2 linked regions of the Lonchura striata genome follow. The protein of the gene in region 1 interacts with the protein of each later gene in a pairwise test. Links are inferred from orthologs where the notes say so. Each region holds a gene or a part of one and is shown on either strand. Other genes may lie near its edges.

Region 1 (7,845 bases):
TGGATAATTCATTATTATGGTCTTTCATTATCTGAGGAGAGTAAATCAATACTTTTGTTCTGTTGTTCAAATAACTAAAAACCCTATGTGAATTCATTCATTATGGGCCTGTTTTCACTACAGGTTCAGTGCTTGCAGCGAAGCTTTCACTGGCATTAAACTAACTGAAGATATCTGTAGTCACACAAAGGGTAACTTGCACTTTTCTCAAAGGTCCTCAGTACTGACATAGTAATAATCTCATTTTTAAAACAGACAAAATAAGCAAAGTCAGAGTAAAAAAGGGATTCATGTTTCAGATTTCATATATATCCAAAGGTAGTACTAGATTGAAGGTCAGATTTATAATTGCTTTTAAACTGCTTCCCTGCCTAAAAGAAAGGGGGGACCATGCCTACCAAGGCGCAACCTACTTTCCCCAACAGCAAATATAGGCCTACCAGCAACAGGTTTGCTTTTCTTAGCTCTTACAGTAATTATTTTTAAGAGGCTACATCCACTTAGAAGATTCTATACACTATACGTGGAAATTTACCAGACAGAGCAGACCCTCCACCTGAATTTCAATGTAGCCCAAGGCAAATTTTGGCAAAGCTTGACCCTATTCTCCCTGTTGTCAACTTCAATTAAATCTTTAGCAAAACTGGGGAAAAAAAAGGCCAAATTGATTTCAGTGTTTAGGAAAAAACCAGTAATTGCACAATCTACAAAAAAGTAATCCATTACACAATATTAGAATGCAAAATGAGTCCTGTAGGGAAGTGCAGTTCTGTGGTAGAGGGTAGTACAGTGGAAAAATACTGAACTATACACAGCTGTGCATCCATGGTAGCTGTGCATTCAGCTCACCTGAAATATTATTTGAGATGACATGGCTCTCCTGGGACAAAATGAACTGTACTTGTGAGAAACACATAGAGTCTTCAGAAAGAACTAAATCACATTTCTTATGAGTAACCAATGCAGCTCTTTGCCCAATAAACAAGCTGCTGTTAAACCATCGAATTCCTCAAATAGCAAGTTCTGCCATGGAAACTGCATGGAAAATAACCTATGGATTTTTTTTTTTTTAATGGAAGGTTTCTTTCCCCTTTAGATGCAAAATGCTACTCAAAAAGCAAATCTGAATGACAACAAAAATCCTCAGTCTTCTGACCATTCACAACACTACAAAACTCCTGCAGTCTTTGCTTTTAGTTGTGCTGAAGTGCAAGGCACAAACTCAGAGAGGGAAGGTTTAGATTAGAGGATATGAGGATAGTCAAACACTGGAAAAAGTTGCCTAGAAACAGGGATGCTCCATCCCTGGAAGTGTTCAAGACTAGGCTGGATGGGGTTTTAAGCAACCTGTTTTACTGAAAGATAACCCTCAACATGGCAAGGGGGTGGAACTAGATAATTTTTAAGGTCCTTTACAACAATTGGCTCTGGCAGCCAATGAGCGCCTTCAGAGTGGTGCTGGGTTTTTCCACATTGCATTACACTGTGCTGCATAGAAATAATTCTCTGGTTAATGTAGCACCAGTTCTTGAGGGAAGACAAAGGATCATAAAAGTCAGCAGAGTAACAGATATCATCTAACCTCCTGAATACTGGCCCCATTGTATTTTCTTTAGGCATTAGATCCAAGCAAGCCATTTATACAGACCTCTGATTTTTAAGATTTCAAGCAATCACAAGTAACTGATCCCTATATTATCCTAATAGCTAGAGCAACACAGCTTACTCAAGGTTGTGTTTGTTAAACTTCCAGTCATGGGATCACCTTACGTAATAAGACTATAAATTTAAAGACTTTAAATCTCTCCAATATTATGACTCTTCCTACATACAGTGATTCATTCTCTTCTTATCCCTTTTCTTTGATAAACTTTGTTTAAAGTCCTTCAACCTCATGTCAAAACTGACTTTCTGTCTTAAAAGGCAAGCATCACATCTGGACACAGTATTCTAGTCAGTTGCTCTATACAGAAGAAAGATAATTTCCCCTGTTTGTGTTTGCCATTTTTCATTTATATATCTGTGTTGTCCTTTTGGTGACATCCCAAAAAGAACTTACACTGAATGCACTACATAAGAACATCCCTACCAAAAAACATTTCCAGTCCTGAAGTAACCATTGCGTTCTTCATTGCTTGCTTGCAGCAGCATTAAAACACATTGTTTTTTAAAACCTAACAATTTAATCCAGCTATTCCGATAATTCTTACTAGTAATTTAGACAGTTTACTACAGAACCATCAAATAATTTATGTTGAAAAGGATCTGAAAAATATCCAGTCTAATCTCTTGCTTAAAGCTGAGCTAGTGTCACAGTAAGAACAGGTAGCCCAGGCCCTTTCTCAGCCTCTCTGGACACCCATCTTTCACAGTTTACCCACTTTCAGGCAATTTTTTTATTTTACATAATAAAATATGCATTATCTAAAAGCATAGCCATGGAAGACTTTATGACCACATTTTAGGTATTTTTAAAAAATAGCTAAACTTTGTTTAAAAATTTAGCCACAAAAAGTATACAGGCCTAATTAGCAACAGCCTTCTACACTGGCACCTGACCACTGAGAAGCGTTATAGTCCATGTAGCAGATACAAAATCTGTTAATTCAGCCTAATTTCATTGGTTTAGTAAAACAGCATGCAATATTGAATTAGAAGCTCCAATACAGCCCAATGAAACAAGAAGACTGAGAGTCAGACCAGTTGTTTCTGTCAAAAAAGATTTACTTTGTATGATGGCAGGCTGGCTGGTACTCCTTTTGACTGTTAACTTTAGCTATTAGTGCCCTCCATTGCTCCTGGGAGTTATCAAAGCAACAGCTACTGCCTCATTCACCTGCTTTCTCCAGCTGCTAATTTCAGCTGTGTAACTTCTGCAATTTTCTGCAAAAGTTCAGCTGCTTAAAGTATTCCTCCTCTAAGTCTTTAACATTCTTAGGAACTGTACAGCTATGCTGATTAGAAAATGTTTAATTTCAGCAGACGCTGCTTTACATCTTCCTTGAGTGCAGTAATACTTCAAGTCTCTTATCCAAGTGCCAATTAGTCCTTGAAGCACACAAAATTTGACCAGCAGTAGATAAAAGATAGACCCAGAAAGATCTTATGGCTTTCCACAGGCTCACTGCTCTTGGCATTAATACTATGTATTTATTGGTAGAGAAGTTACTGCTATGACAGCATTTTGCTTCAAAACGTGTTTGCAAGATAGCACTCTAAGAAGGCAAGTCTGAGGGTTATGAAGTCATACATGGAAAGAAACTTGGTTTTCATATTTACCTGGGTAATTTACTTGCCATCTTGCTCTTAATTTTATTTGAACACACTTCTTTAACTTTTAATAAAGTTTTTTTTAAAATGTCATAATTGTTTGAATGCTGTCACATTTGGTTGTTATAGTTCCAAATGTTTACTCCTTCTCCATTTGGGACTATGAATCTAATACACAGTAACATGACTACTTAAGAGGAGCTATTACACTTTATGTCAACCCAGCTGCTATGTACATAAAAGTTGCATAATAACAATTCTGATGTTAATTTTGATTTTAAAAACTGTTTGCCAGGAACTATTTTTCCACTTTTGATATTTAAGCTAATTAAAATATTTTCTTGCCAAGATAACCAAATATGTTAATGTTTATCGTTATTTAGATAAATTGGTGCTGAATTCAGTTTATCAGAAGTGGGTGGTTCATATGAATATTAAACTCCTCTAATTTTAGAACAGCAAAATGTATTTTTAATCTGCTCTGGAAAGTTTAAGTGGCAAATTTTCCACATCTTCCCTAATTCTTTATACTACTGCTTAAATACCTCTGCAGCTGAAAGCTTTTATTCATGTGCATCCTTGTACTGCTGTACTTTCAAGTTCTCTGTGGTATGTGAAAAAGTAGTGGGTGAAGAGAAGAATGCTACCTTGCCCTTTATCCCAGTTTATTCCATACATGCCTAAGGTGCTCATGTGCTACACAGGGAAATAGTTAAAAAGGACACTATTCTGCATTCAATTTATTTCTCTACACCATCATCCACCAAAGAGAAGGCAGCAGCAACTCAGTGGAAATCTGCCAGCCTATCACACCTTTCTCGGATGGCAACTGACCACGTTCCTTTCTCTTCTTGTGGACGACAAGGTAGGCTGCCGAAAAACCTCGCAGAACTCCAGTGAAATTCCACCTTCGTGGGTGGTTTTTGACAGAGGCCTCCATGTTCACACGAGCTGTAGCTGACCTGCAAGAGGCGGCTGCCGTGTGTGTGTGACCAGCCCCTCGCGGTGGAGAGCTGGTGCGTGTGCTGTGTTTCTGAAGGACGGCCGGCCGCGGATACCAAGTAGAAGAGAGATGATGGCTGGACTGATGAGGCCGGCGCCCTGGTCCATCCAAAAGGGTGGCACCTGATATGTCCCTTAATCCAAGGCCCTGCACAATGGCAGGAACCGCCTAGCCCGGCTCCGCGCGCGGGTTTTCCTTCCCGCAGGCAGCCCCGGGAGCCGGGCCTCACCAGGCACACCGCTCCCCGTGCCGCCGGGCCCGGCCCGGCCCACCGCCCCCGGCCCGGGCGAGGCCGGGCCGCCGGATCCCGCCGGTCCTCCCCGCCCCGCGGCGCTGCGGAGCTCCCGCCCTCGCCCCTCTCTCTTCCTCCGCCGGCAGCTGCGGCATCCCCGGGGCGGCGGGACCGGCAGCGAACCGCCCCCCGCGCACGGCCCGGGCTGCTGCGGTCTCCGCGGTGCCGGTCCGTGCCCGAGGCGAGCGCGGCGAAGCGGGGCGGCTCGCCAGGCCCGGCTCCCGCAGCGCAGCCATGCCGGCAGCCCGCGCCGGGCCGCGCCGGGCCGCTCTGCGCCCGCAGCATCGCGGCGGCCCGTGTGCGATGAGCCGCCCACCCCTGGGCACCTTCTCCGCCCCGCTCGCCTCCTCCTCCCACGGAGCCACCCTCCTCCTCCGCCCCCTCTCCCTGCCAGCCTCCTCCCCGCCCTTCCCCGCACTCCACGCCGGTGCCGGAGCCGCGCGTCACTCGGGCTCCAGCCCCGCCGCAGATATGGCGACACTGACAGCGGTCCAGCCGCTCACGCTGGACAGAGGTAAGCGCGGCTGCCGCGGCTCCCTGGCCGCGCCTCCCCGGCCGCCCTGCCCGGGGGCCACCGCGGCAAGCGCCGGCTCTGCCCCCGCAGCTCCGGCGGGCGGGCGCTGCCGCGGCACAGCTCCGGCCCCGCAGTGCCCGCGGCTGGCGGCGGCGGCGGGCAGCGGGGATGCCCCTCTCGGCGGGGTTCAGGTGGGCGGCGAGAGAAGGTCTGAAACGGAGGGGATAAAACTTTGTGCGGGCAGGGGCCGGGATGGGGCGGGTATCCCGCCGCCGGTAGCGCCGCGGTGCCGCAAGAGCAGGACGCGGCTCCGCGGTCAGCGCTCCGGTCCGGAGGCGCTCCTCGGTGCCGCTCCGCCGCCCCCGCCCCGCGGGGCTCCCCGGGGGCGGCCCCGCCGTGGCTCCGCGCCGAGGCCCCGCGTCGCCACCCCCGCAGGTGGCTCGGCGGGGGATGCTCGGTGGCGGGGCAGCGCCGCTCCGGCTGCGGGCCGGGAGCCCACGCCTCTACGAGAGCGTTGTTTTCCGGCAAAATACGGCTTTTTAGGGGCTTGCGCCGCGGTGTGCGGGGATGGTTTCCGTGACTGCAACTTGTCCGTTCGCATGCAGAAGATCGGTTCTGCGTATTCGCGTAGACAGATGCGCGGTCCGGGTAGGGAGAGCATTGGTGTTTGGGTAGCCTTGAGGCTGTGTCAGTAGTAATCTTATACAGGGTAGCATAAGAGGGTGCTGAAATCTTGAAGTTTACAATTAAACTTTTGCCTTCAGGCTGTAAAAATTGAACTTCATACCCTAGCAGTGCAGTTGTTCCCGTAATATGGTTCACCAGAAACCTCATTCAAATCGATTTCTGTGGGTTACAAGGGAGAGCAGCTTTGCTCCTACCCCTCCCAGTACGGCATTCTGAATTGCCGAGATGTCCTTCTTCCTCTTGCATCCAGAGGCTTCAAGAGGCTCCCAGTCCCTATAAATCTTGTACTCTTGAAGGAATAATTGAGGCCAGTGCCTTGCTGTTTTAAAAGTTTGTTTGTTTGTTTTTTCCAAAGGATTAAGACGAATTTGTTGAAGTAAGATGGAGATTTTTTTTTTTCTGTGAATCCTATGCAAATGAAACACAAACTCTGTTTCAAAATTGTAAAGGAGAGGTAGGCACCATTTCTAGAACCCAATTGAGAGCAAAACAGCCCACAAAGTACTCCACTTAGATTCCAGCATTAGTAGAAAGAGAGAAGCTAAAGTTATTTTTACTGAAATAGCAAAGTGTTAGCCTGCATTTTAAATTAAACTGCTCAGAAATCCACTGTGTAATCTACAGTTTCACCCTAATACTGTTTTCAGTAAGCAGGACAAATCTACTTTCTGGCAAAGGGTTGAACAGATGGCAATCCATTAGCAAACCTGACTCTTCAAACGAAATACTACTATTTCAGAATTATACATCCCTTTTTGCAAAACAATGCTTTAAAAATTCCACAATGCGCAAAAATGCAAATTAGTTCCAATTTAAATATAAGCATCTGCTATCTGTGTCCAGGATATGCCTAACCATTTGGCAGGCATGCCAGTGTTACAGTCTTCCTGGTTGTCAGCTACGGCTGGTATTCATATGAGTGAGATAAAACATCACAGAATGATAGGATGTGATGTGCAAAACAAAAACACAGGCAAGAGGAAATAGATTTAAATAGTGTTCCTGACCTGCAGAAGGCCATTTCGTCAGAGGGATACACTTCATCACTTTGTAACATGCGGCTGCATCAACTGTAGAGAATAGGCTGAAGCAATTCCAGAGGCAACTAGACCACACCAGTGCTTCCAAGTATTTCCTCTGTAGTCTTTCTTTCACAGTCATGGGAGACGGGAAGTTCTACATAGTGAGATTTTCAAGATTCCTGTTACTTTGGTTAAAGCACATGAGCCATGTTTACAGTCACTATGCCTTGCACTTTTCTGCTTTGATCTTTAAAAGTCCCTTAAAAGTCTTGTACCCTCATATCCATTTCACTCAGCATAGCAATAAAATAGGGAGCATTTCAGGAGAGGTAGTATTGTTACTCTTGTATTTCTGAGGGAATTGCTTCTTGATCTCTGTCCAGGAATTGTTCTGCATTCCTCCTTGCTATGGGTCACTGACACTGGTAAAACATCATAAGGATATATACATTAGAAATATGAATTACACTCTGACATTGTCTCCTCCTGGAAAAAATATAATGACTGTATTCTAGTACGTAGATGGGAGCTTTCTTAAAGCCTGACATAAATGGCATTCAAAACCTGTATGGTAAAATGAATTACCATTTAAAGGTGAAGGGCATGGTGTGTGTGAATGATTGAAAGCCAATTATATTCTGGAAGATTACTTCAGTCCAAAGCACAGGAATTAATTTCCTTAATTCCTATCATCATGTGCCTTTCTACCTGCACAAATGTGTGCAAGTTCCATTAGGGCTCTTTAATATGTAGAACAAGTTCGCAAAATAATGGAAATTTTAATCACTTACAATTTAATCTCTAAGGCTTTTGCCTGACCTTTGCATGGTGCTCTGTTGGGAGGAGGAGAAGAAATCAGCAACTGTTTCAGGAAGGAAACCTAAGGCATTGTAGTGAGGAGTGGTACCACTTAGGGAAGGTGGCCCTAGCATTTGGGAGCTCTGGGAGAGGGATGTGCCTCCTGGGTGTCTTCCAAAAGCCAAGGGAGTCACGTCTTGGAGAAAATGCTCCCTTCCTACCTTTATTGCAAATGTCTTACACCCTGAATCAATAGCAC
Region 2 (7,787 bases), on another chromosome or scaffold:
ACATATACTGATCACCTTCCATTAAAAATAAGAACAAACCCCAAAAGCTTACTTTAAAATAGTCTGAGATGTAAACTTAATTAGTTATAATTTCCTCTTTCTTCTGGTTCATACTTTAGCTTGAACTACACTTGAGACATTTTGTCTAGTTTGTCTAGCTGGATTGGGAGTGAAGGAAAGAGGATGTGTACATAAAGTGCCCCTGTTGTCAGAACTGCTGTATTGAGGAACACTCCACAGTAGATAACTACACTAGAAAACCAATTCTGCCAGCAGACCTGATTTTAAACCACCACTTAAATTGTTTCCACCAAGTTTTCTACCATAGACATATTGCAAACCTTTTCAAATGGACAAATGCCTCTCTTTGTCCATTAATAGAAGGAAAACAATAGAGCAGTATTTAATTAATATTTACAAAAAGTCTTGAGGTTTTCAAATGTGTGATCAAGGCAGCAATTAGTGTTCCAAATACCGTAATGTCGAGTATTTCTGCAACAGTGACCGAGAAAATACTTTAAAAATGTCAGTTGCTAAATATTTAAAAATTTAGAACATGTCACATGAATACAAATACAAATCCTGCTATCTAGGAAGTACCACACTGTTTGAAATTTTAGCCTTCAGCATTCTGAAAGCCTAACACTGTAAAAGGAATGCACTTCAAAGTACAAACTGGGAAAAAATGGTAGCTGCAACAGTTAAAACAGTTAGCTTCTGATGTTAAGATCCAATCTTTGAAGAGACATAATAGAATTTGCATCTAAAAATGCTGTAGGTTTCTTAAAAGCCTACAACTTCTAAGTATAACAGGAGATTCTAATCAAAGCAGCAAATGAAGTATTAGGAAAATTTAATCTTTTTATTACAACAAATGTAATTATTTTTTTTATAAACAAGGATCAATAAATGGATGCACATAAACTTCAGACTACATTAAGTTTTCTGTATCCGTAACTCTTGGTATGAATCCCAACTTCTGCACTGCATTTTCTATGGTTCTTTACCTTGTACTGCTGTGGTACTGAAAGATGCCTGTCACCCCTCAAAGGTCATAAGTAATTCCTGCAGATTCCTAAGCCAGATAAATCAGTCTACTGAAGAAATATTTTGATGCACATTTCTAAGTTCAGAATTTCTGAGAAGAAATTTAATAAAAACTAAACAAAATTAGAGTCTTCACCAAGAGCTAATTATTTACAGAAAAACATCACCATCCTCTGTTATTCCACACATTGCAAGGTAATATGACACACATTGGAAGAATGTAAACTCTGAAAAAAAATAATTAAAGAGTTCAGTGATCATGGACTAACATTTAAGTCTCTATTACTTTATCATTATTAACAATGATAATTAAATATAACATCCTACAACATTGCTTCAAAACACTGTAATATTTTTGATATTATGTTAAAAGTGTCTACAAGAGTAGACAATTACTTAAGCTTTTAATGTGTAAAATACTGGATTTTTTTTAAAGTACAATGTTGGAAAAGAGTTAACGTGTATCATCCAGGCAGATCTAAAGTGTTTCGCATTCAGATGTGCAGTAACAGCTCTAATATGATCATAAGGAAAAAATATGTACTGTGAAAATTTGGACAACAGATCAAAACCAAAAGCTTGCAGACTCAGATGTCTAAAGCCAATACAAAGATGCCTTTTTTTACAAATTCATGAAAAACATCTCAATCTTTAAAAAGGACAGAGATCCCTTTAAGGCATTGGCAACAGAAGCATCTAACACATAGAAGATCACCACAGTCACTTGTTAGAAGTCTGACTGCAGTCAGCTGTATATTATCATGTATCTAGAATGAAATTATTTTGCTCTGTTAAGTGAGCTATGGATATAGTCTACGCCTAAATAATTGCAATAGAGGCTTTATCTTTAAAAGAAAATACCCTCCATAGCACTTATTGATATTTACCGCTTTTAATATTCTTCATGAAGTTATTTTTTGTGGATCTGTCCCATGTGAGACATCTAACAATATTATTGTTTTAGACAGCTTTGTTTGTATATAAATATTCCGCAGTAAGGTCAAATACAAGTTAATTTAATTTTCTCCCGCGGTCTGTCTCACCGAGCTCACAGTCACCGCGTTCTTTGTTGCCTGGCTGTAGTGTCTCTCTCTCCCAGCACACAGCCTCGATGCCTCCGCCAGGAAAGCGGCAGCACCGCAGGAGCATTACCACTACAGCTTTGGGAAAACGGAGCCGCTCCAACCGGGACGTGCGCTAACTGCTGCTGACTGTAAAACACACTGGAAGTCGCCCACGTTCAACCTGCTTTAACTTAGCTCCGCAAAGCTTCATAAACCCATACGAAGCAAAAACTTCACAGAGGAATAATTTCCAAACACAGAGCTGCCAGAGCATCAGAAGTGCACAGGAGGGGGCCCTAAAGTTTCCCCCCTCATTGTTTAAACTCGTACACAACGCTTAACAAGTCCGCAGAGAGAGCACACAGCCAAGTGAGGGAGGTTTTCTTACAACTCCTGGGCCTAAGCTCCGGGAAGCATCCCAAGAAAGGGCGGCAGGAAAGCCGCAGGATACGCTCTCGGGAGGCCCCCGCGCTCCCGCAGCGCCGCCGGCACCTGTAGCCGCCGCGGCCGGGGCCGCCCCGCCCGGCCGGGACCCGCGGCCAAGGTACAGCCCGGGCCACCGCCAGCGGGGTGCGGGGACCGGGGCCGAGCCCCGAGTGCCGCCGAGCCCGGCTGTGCCCCGCCGTCCCGCCCGGTCTCGGCCCGGCCGGACCCCCGGGCCTGCGCGGGCGCCGTGGCCGCGGGGGAGGCTCCGGCCAGACGCGACTCGCGGCGGGACCTGTTGCTCGCGCGCTGGGCACGGCGCTCCGCTCACCGTCCGTCTTTTTCCGCCGCTGACACGCTCCAGCCCCGCCGCCGGCTGGAAGTCGGAGTCCCCGGCGTCCCGCGGCGCCCCCGCGCCCAGCCCGCGGAACCGTCCGGCCACAGCCCCCGCAGCGCTGCGCAGCCGCCGCCCGGCCCGGCCCGGCCCGGCCCGGCCCGCCCCCGCGCCGCCGCCCCGCCCCCCGCGCAGGCGCGGCGCCGCCCACGGCCGCCTCGGCCGGGCGGCGAGCGGCGCTGCCTCCGAGGCCGCGGCGGCGGTCGGCGCCGCCCGCAGGTGGCGTGGACACGTGGACGCGGTGCTGCTTCTGTGTCGCCTTCCTCGCAGAATCGCGGAATCGAGTAGGTTGGAAAGACCTCTGAAATTACCGAGTCCAACCTAGGACCGAACACCACCTTGTCGACTGGACCCTGGCACTGAGTGCCACGGCCAGTCTTTGCTTAAACGCTTCAGGGACGGTGACTCCCCTGCCTCCCTGGGCAGCCCATTTCAGTCCAGTCCATTCCGGCCGTCATCTCCCATCTCTCTGCCACGGCTTCCTCTGCGGCCCGAGCGGGACCACCAGGGCAGCCCGTGTCCCGGGCAGACCTGGCTCCCCCCCGGCCACTCGCTCCTTCCCCCTCGCCCAGCTCCAGCTGCCGCCCCCCGCCCTTTCTCCTCCACCCTCTCTGGCATCCCCCCGTTCGCCCGCTGCTGCTGCCGCATCCTCAGCCCAGCTTGAATGCCCCAGCCAGGCTGGAGCCTGTGTGGGCAATAAAGTATTTAATCTCATCGAGAGTCCACTCTGCCTCTGGGAGGCTGAGGCATAGAAGGCGCCCATAACACTCTGTCTGGAAGAATGAAGAAAACAAGAGGTTACAAGTAGTTTTACCGGGTTGTTTGTATCCTTGGCTGTGTTTTTCAGGAACAGGGGAACGTCTTTTTAGCGCACAACAGTTAAGTTTGACTTCGAGCTGCAAACTGCACTCACTTCCCTGGTTTTTCAGGCTAGCCTGCCTAGATCGTTGCTCAAGGCATTAGAAGAAATGTTCTGTGTAACCAGACAAGTAAAAAAAGGCTCACTTAGATAACTAAGAAGTCCTAAAGAGATACCTGCTTTCGTCCATCTCTCCTTGCTTCAGTTTATCTGTATAAAAATCTGTGCAATTTAACTCGATCATTCTTCACAGTGAAATCCACACTTTCTATAATGGTACCCAATATATCATGTTTTCAAATAATGTTCTTATGGTTTTTCTTTTTCTGTGAAAAGGCTTAATACAATAATGTATGTCCTGACCAGTTACCTGCAGAGTAAAGTCTGAAAGCCTTTCTACCTTTTCACATTGTGACTCAAACTCCCCAGGGCAGCATGCCTTATAAGTGCATTTAACATCTGTTTTTGTTCTGACCAATACTGAGGGGCTTTGCATCAAGTGAACACAACTGGAACACTGCAGGAGATACAGATGTTAGTGGACTGCGGAATTATTTACTTGGGAAATAAAAAAGAGAGGGAAACCATGACACTGGTAATTTGTGGCTGAGCAGCACCAAGCGTGGTTCTTCGCACCTTCATATGAACATGGTTCATAAAAGTTCACATGAACCCTTTCTTAGAAAGCACTTTGACAAAGGACCTTATAACTAAAGGATGTTTTCAAAATGTGATACTTACCTAGAAGATATGACTGCAAAAAGTAGGTAGGTTCATCAGTTATCTGTTCACTGTTGAACTCTTTTCTATGTCCAAGGTTGGAATGGTCAGACAAAAAAAGACACAAATTCTGCTTACAATTTCCTTCAGCTGATAGCATTTTTACTTCCTTTCCACAGAAAATCTCATTGCCTCCAATTTGCATGTTGTCCAGCAGCTATTTTTAAAGCCAGCATAAAGGAATTTTCTTCAATATGGTGTGTAATTTGTCATAAAATAAAGAAAGATTCTCATCAGTTCTAGAACTTCCTCCTTTACTGTCTTTACTGTCTTGTAGCTGAAGTTTATTTTTTTTTTTTTGCCAGAAGGGGTTACCAGACCAGATTAAGACTGAGTTTGGAATATCTCTTGGATATATCTGCTTAAGGATCTGTTTGTTTCTTTGGTAACCAATCTCCTCCCTCTGGCTTTCACAAGGCATCACAGAAACCCTAATATTAGCCTGTGCCCAGCTGGCAAATCCATTCAAATGGTACTTGAATGAGATGTGCTTGGCTAATTCTATCCAACAGATTAAAGTACTCTGTCAGGCCAAGAAGTTGTCATACCTGAAAACGATTCACAATAGAGAACAGGATCAGCAGCATTATTCGTAAGGACCCAGATAACCTTTCTGTTTTGAATCACTTCAATAGACAGCTCTTATGGTTCATTTTGTCTTGTGGGTGCTGTTTGGTGATATGCTGAGAACACAGTAATTACTCTGAGAAAATAAACATTTTAGCTTAAATTTAACAAAATCTTCAAATTGAAAAGATACAGAGAAGGAAGGTGAATGGGAGGATGAGGAATGACAATGGAATTATGATTGGGAAGATCAAAGCTTTTAATCTTCCTTTGTTTTGTTTTAGCTGATTAATCTTTCATATGAGGATCTATAAAGACAGCTTTTAAAGGAAATGAGAAAACTACCTACCAAAGTAGTATAAAGCTTTCTGTTTCATCTCTTGTTCAAAGTGTTCAGTTATTATCTTTAAGTAGAAAGGAACTAAAAATAAATACCCAAGTGATACCTTTTGTGAGCTTGGATCTTTGAACATTTTAATTTTAGACAACAATTTTTCTATGTTTTTGCTATTTGGCATTATGGAAACATTAAAGCCTGCTTGCAGCTGCAGAACCAGTGTATTTAGGCAACATTATTTATTATAGAACTTTATTTTTAAGATTGGTGTATTAATTCCACAGACAAATATTTTTTAACAAAGAAAATGTTCATTTTTGACGAATTGAATTTGACATGAATTAGTGTCACTGTTTACCAGCAGGGTGCAGATATAATTGTGATCAATCTAAATCTGGCTGATTGCAATCAATAGAAAAGAGAAAAAAAAAATTCTGACTCAAGTTGAGGAATCAGCCTAACATAGAACAAAATGTTTTCTTTGAAACCATTGCCCTCTGGAGGGGAAATGAAAAATCACCAAGGGATCAGAGAACTCCTTTTTATTTCACTATTTAACTATATTTGTGCTTTGCAATCTCTGAATGGTTCTACAGAGGGTTGCAATAAAGCAGTGCTGTCAGAAGGGCCTCACTGGCCACAGTGCTTATGTCAGTGGGTTGAAGAAGTAATCCCCATCTGTCTGCCCCATAACTCTCCTCCCCTTTATCTCTAAACTCTTTATCTCTAAACTCATGGAGCATCAGTTCTACAGCAGATGTACTTTCTCTTCTAACTCCACCTTGGATCCTTTCCAAGCTGGTGTCATCCCTCTTTATTTGCCAAAATACATTTTTATGCAATCCCTGAGGCATTCTTGTCTGCCTATGCCACACTCTGTATTCCATTCTCTTTCTTGACCTTTCTGCTGTTTGATTGGTTGGTTAGTTCTTTTATTATCTTGATTACCCTTTTCTTCTTGATCTTTAATTCTTGCACAGCTCTGAGAAATTATGTACTGTTCTTTCTATCTCTCTACTTTCTTGTCTGACATCTATTGAAATAGACTTTTTTCCTCCTGTCTCTGAGAACCTCACAGGGATTTTTCTCTTGGCCTTCAGATATTGATTATATCTTGGATTATCACATTTAAATGTCACCTGTAATTGAATATGAATGAAAGTGAACTCCTGCCTGCTCAGACTTTGTCTATATATTCTCCCTATATTGGTGGGGAAATGACAGCATTGCTCAGTGAACTTTCCAGTCTGATTTACAACAATCTGATACCTCCTGACTACAAATTTGATTATTGTTTTAACTCTTAAGTAGACACATACCCCAGCCATCTGAAAGAATGTAACAGCAGCACTAGTCCACATGTAGGACTGGTTTCATTCAGTATCTAATGTTTTGAAGAAGAATGCAAAACACCAAAGTCCCTAAGGCAAATTCTGCATTAAGCAAGGAAAAAAAAGTAGACTTCTCAGTGTCCATAACCCAGCAACAGACACCCTAAATTTTGAAATCAATTACAGGAATCCAATTTAATTTCAACATTTTTCATTGTTTAGGACAACAAATACTAAGGATTCAAATGTAGTTACATTTTTCTTCTTGATAGCATCTAGAATTTTTGCTTACTTCCTATTGAATAACCTCATTCTGCATTCAATTTCATCTGGGTAGCCAGAACATCTTCCTCTCTGGTTTCTAGTGCCCTCTGCCACTCCTTATAATCCTTCAGATAAAAATTGTACAATTCCAAGTAAGGTCATAATATTTATGAGTAGGGTCATAAACACAAGAGAAGTTCAGCTGCAGGGAAAGGTTAATCTCCAGAAGAGATGTCTTAAATCTGGCAGTACTGTCCATCCCTCAATGTGAGGTTTTAAGCTCAGAAATAGGAATGGTTCCCAGAACATGGATGCCCCAAATAAAAACTAGAAGTGAGGTTGTTAGTGTAACACTTTGGGGCACTATTTTTAATCCAGAAAAGAAAGAACAGGCAATAAAAATTATCCTTCTTCCACTGTTTTCCCCTATTAAGTTTTACTCAAATTAGTGATTGTCTTTTCTCTTTGTGTCTGTTTGCTGATTCTTGTTTTTCCTCTGTTTGTGAAGAAATAACAATTTATGAGATAGCTCAGGGATCTGTGAGAAAATAGGGGAAGAACCAACAAAAAGAACTAACAAAAGTTTCAGCAGTTGATACTGCCTAAGGAAAATACTTAGGTGGTAAATCCTATTGAAAGAAGACATTTATGGTTTTTAGATTCTTCCCAGATACAATCCTCTTTCCTGAAAGGCAGCATAGTAGTGGTAATTATGTTAAAG

Evidence for each region. The genes of interacting proteins can lie anywhere in the genome.
Region 2: the proteins of LIN7A (region 1) and PALS1 interact in binary tests that used the Homo sapiens proteins (3 or more experiments, as listed by UniProt). The two-hybrid records come from large-scale screens. The link is inferred for Lonchura striata from reciprocal best matches to the Homo sapiens genes LIN7A and PALS1.

What each region holds. Positions count from the first base shown.
Region 1 is NC_134607.1:49,054,602-49,062,446, reverse strand, and holds the start of LIN7A (protein lin-7 homolog A), read left to right. Parts: upstream 1-4,793; 5' UTR 4,794-4,799; coding exon 4,800-5,079; intron 5,080-7,845. UniProt on the Homo sapiens protein: Plays a role in establishing and maintaining the asymmetric distribution of channels and receptors at the plasma membrane of polarized cells.
Region 2 is NC_134608.1:32,711,688-32,719,474, reverse strand, and holds the start of PALS1 (protein PALS1), read right to left. Parts: upstream 3,001-7,787; 5' UTR 2,866-3,000; intron 1-2,865. UniProt on the Homo sapiens protein: Plays a role in tight junction biogenesis and in the establishment of cell polarity in epithelial cells.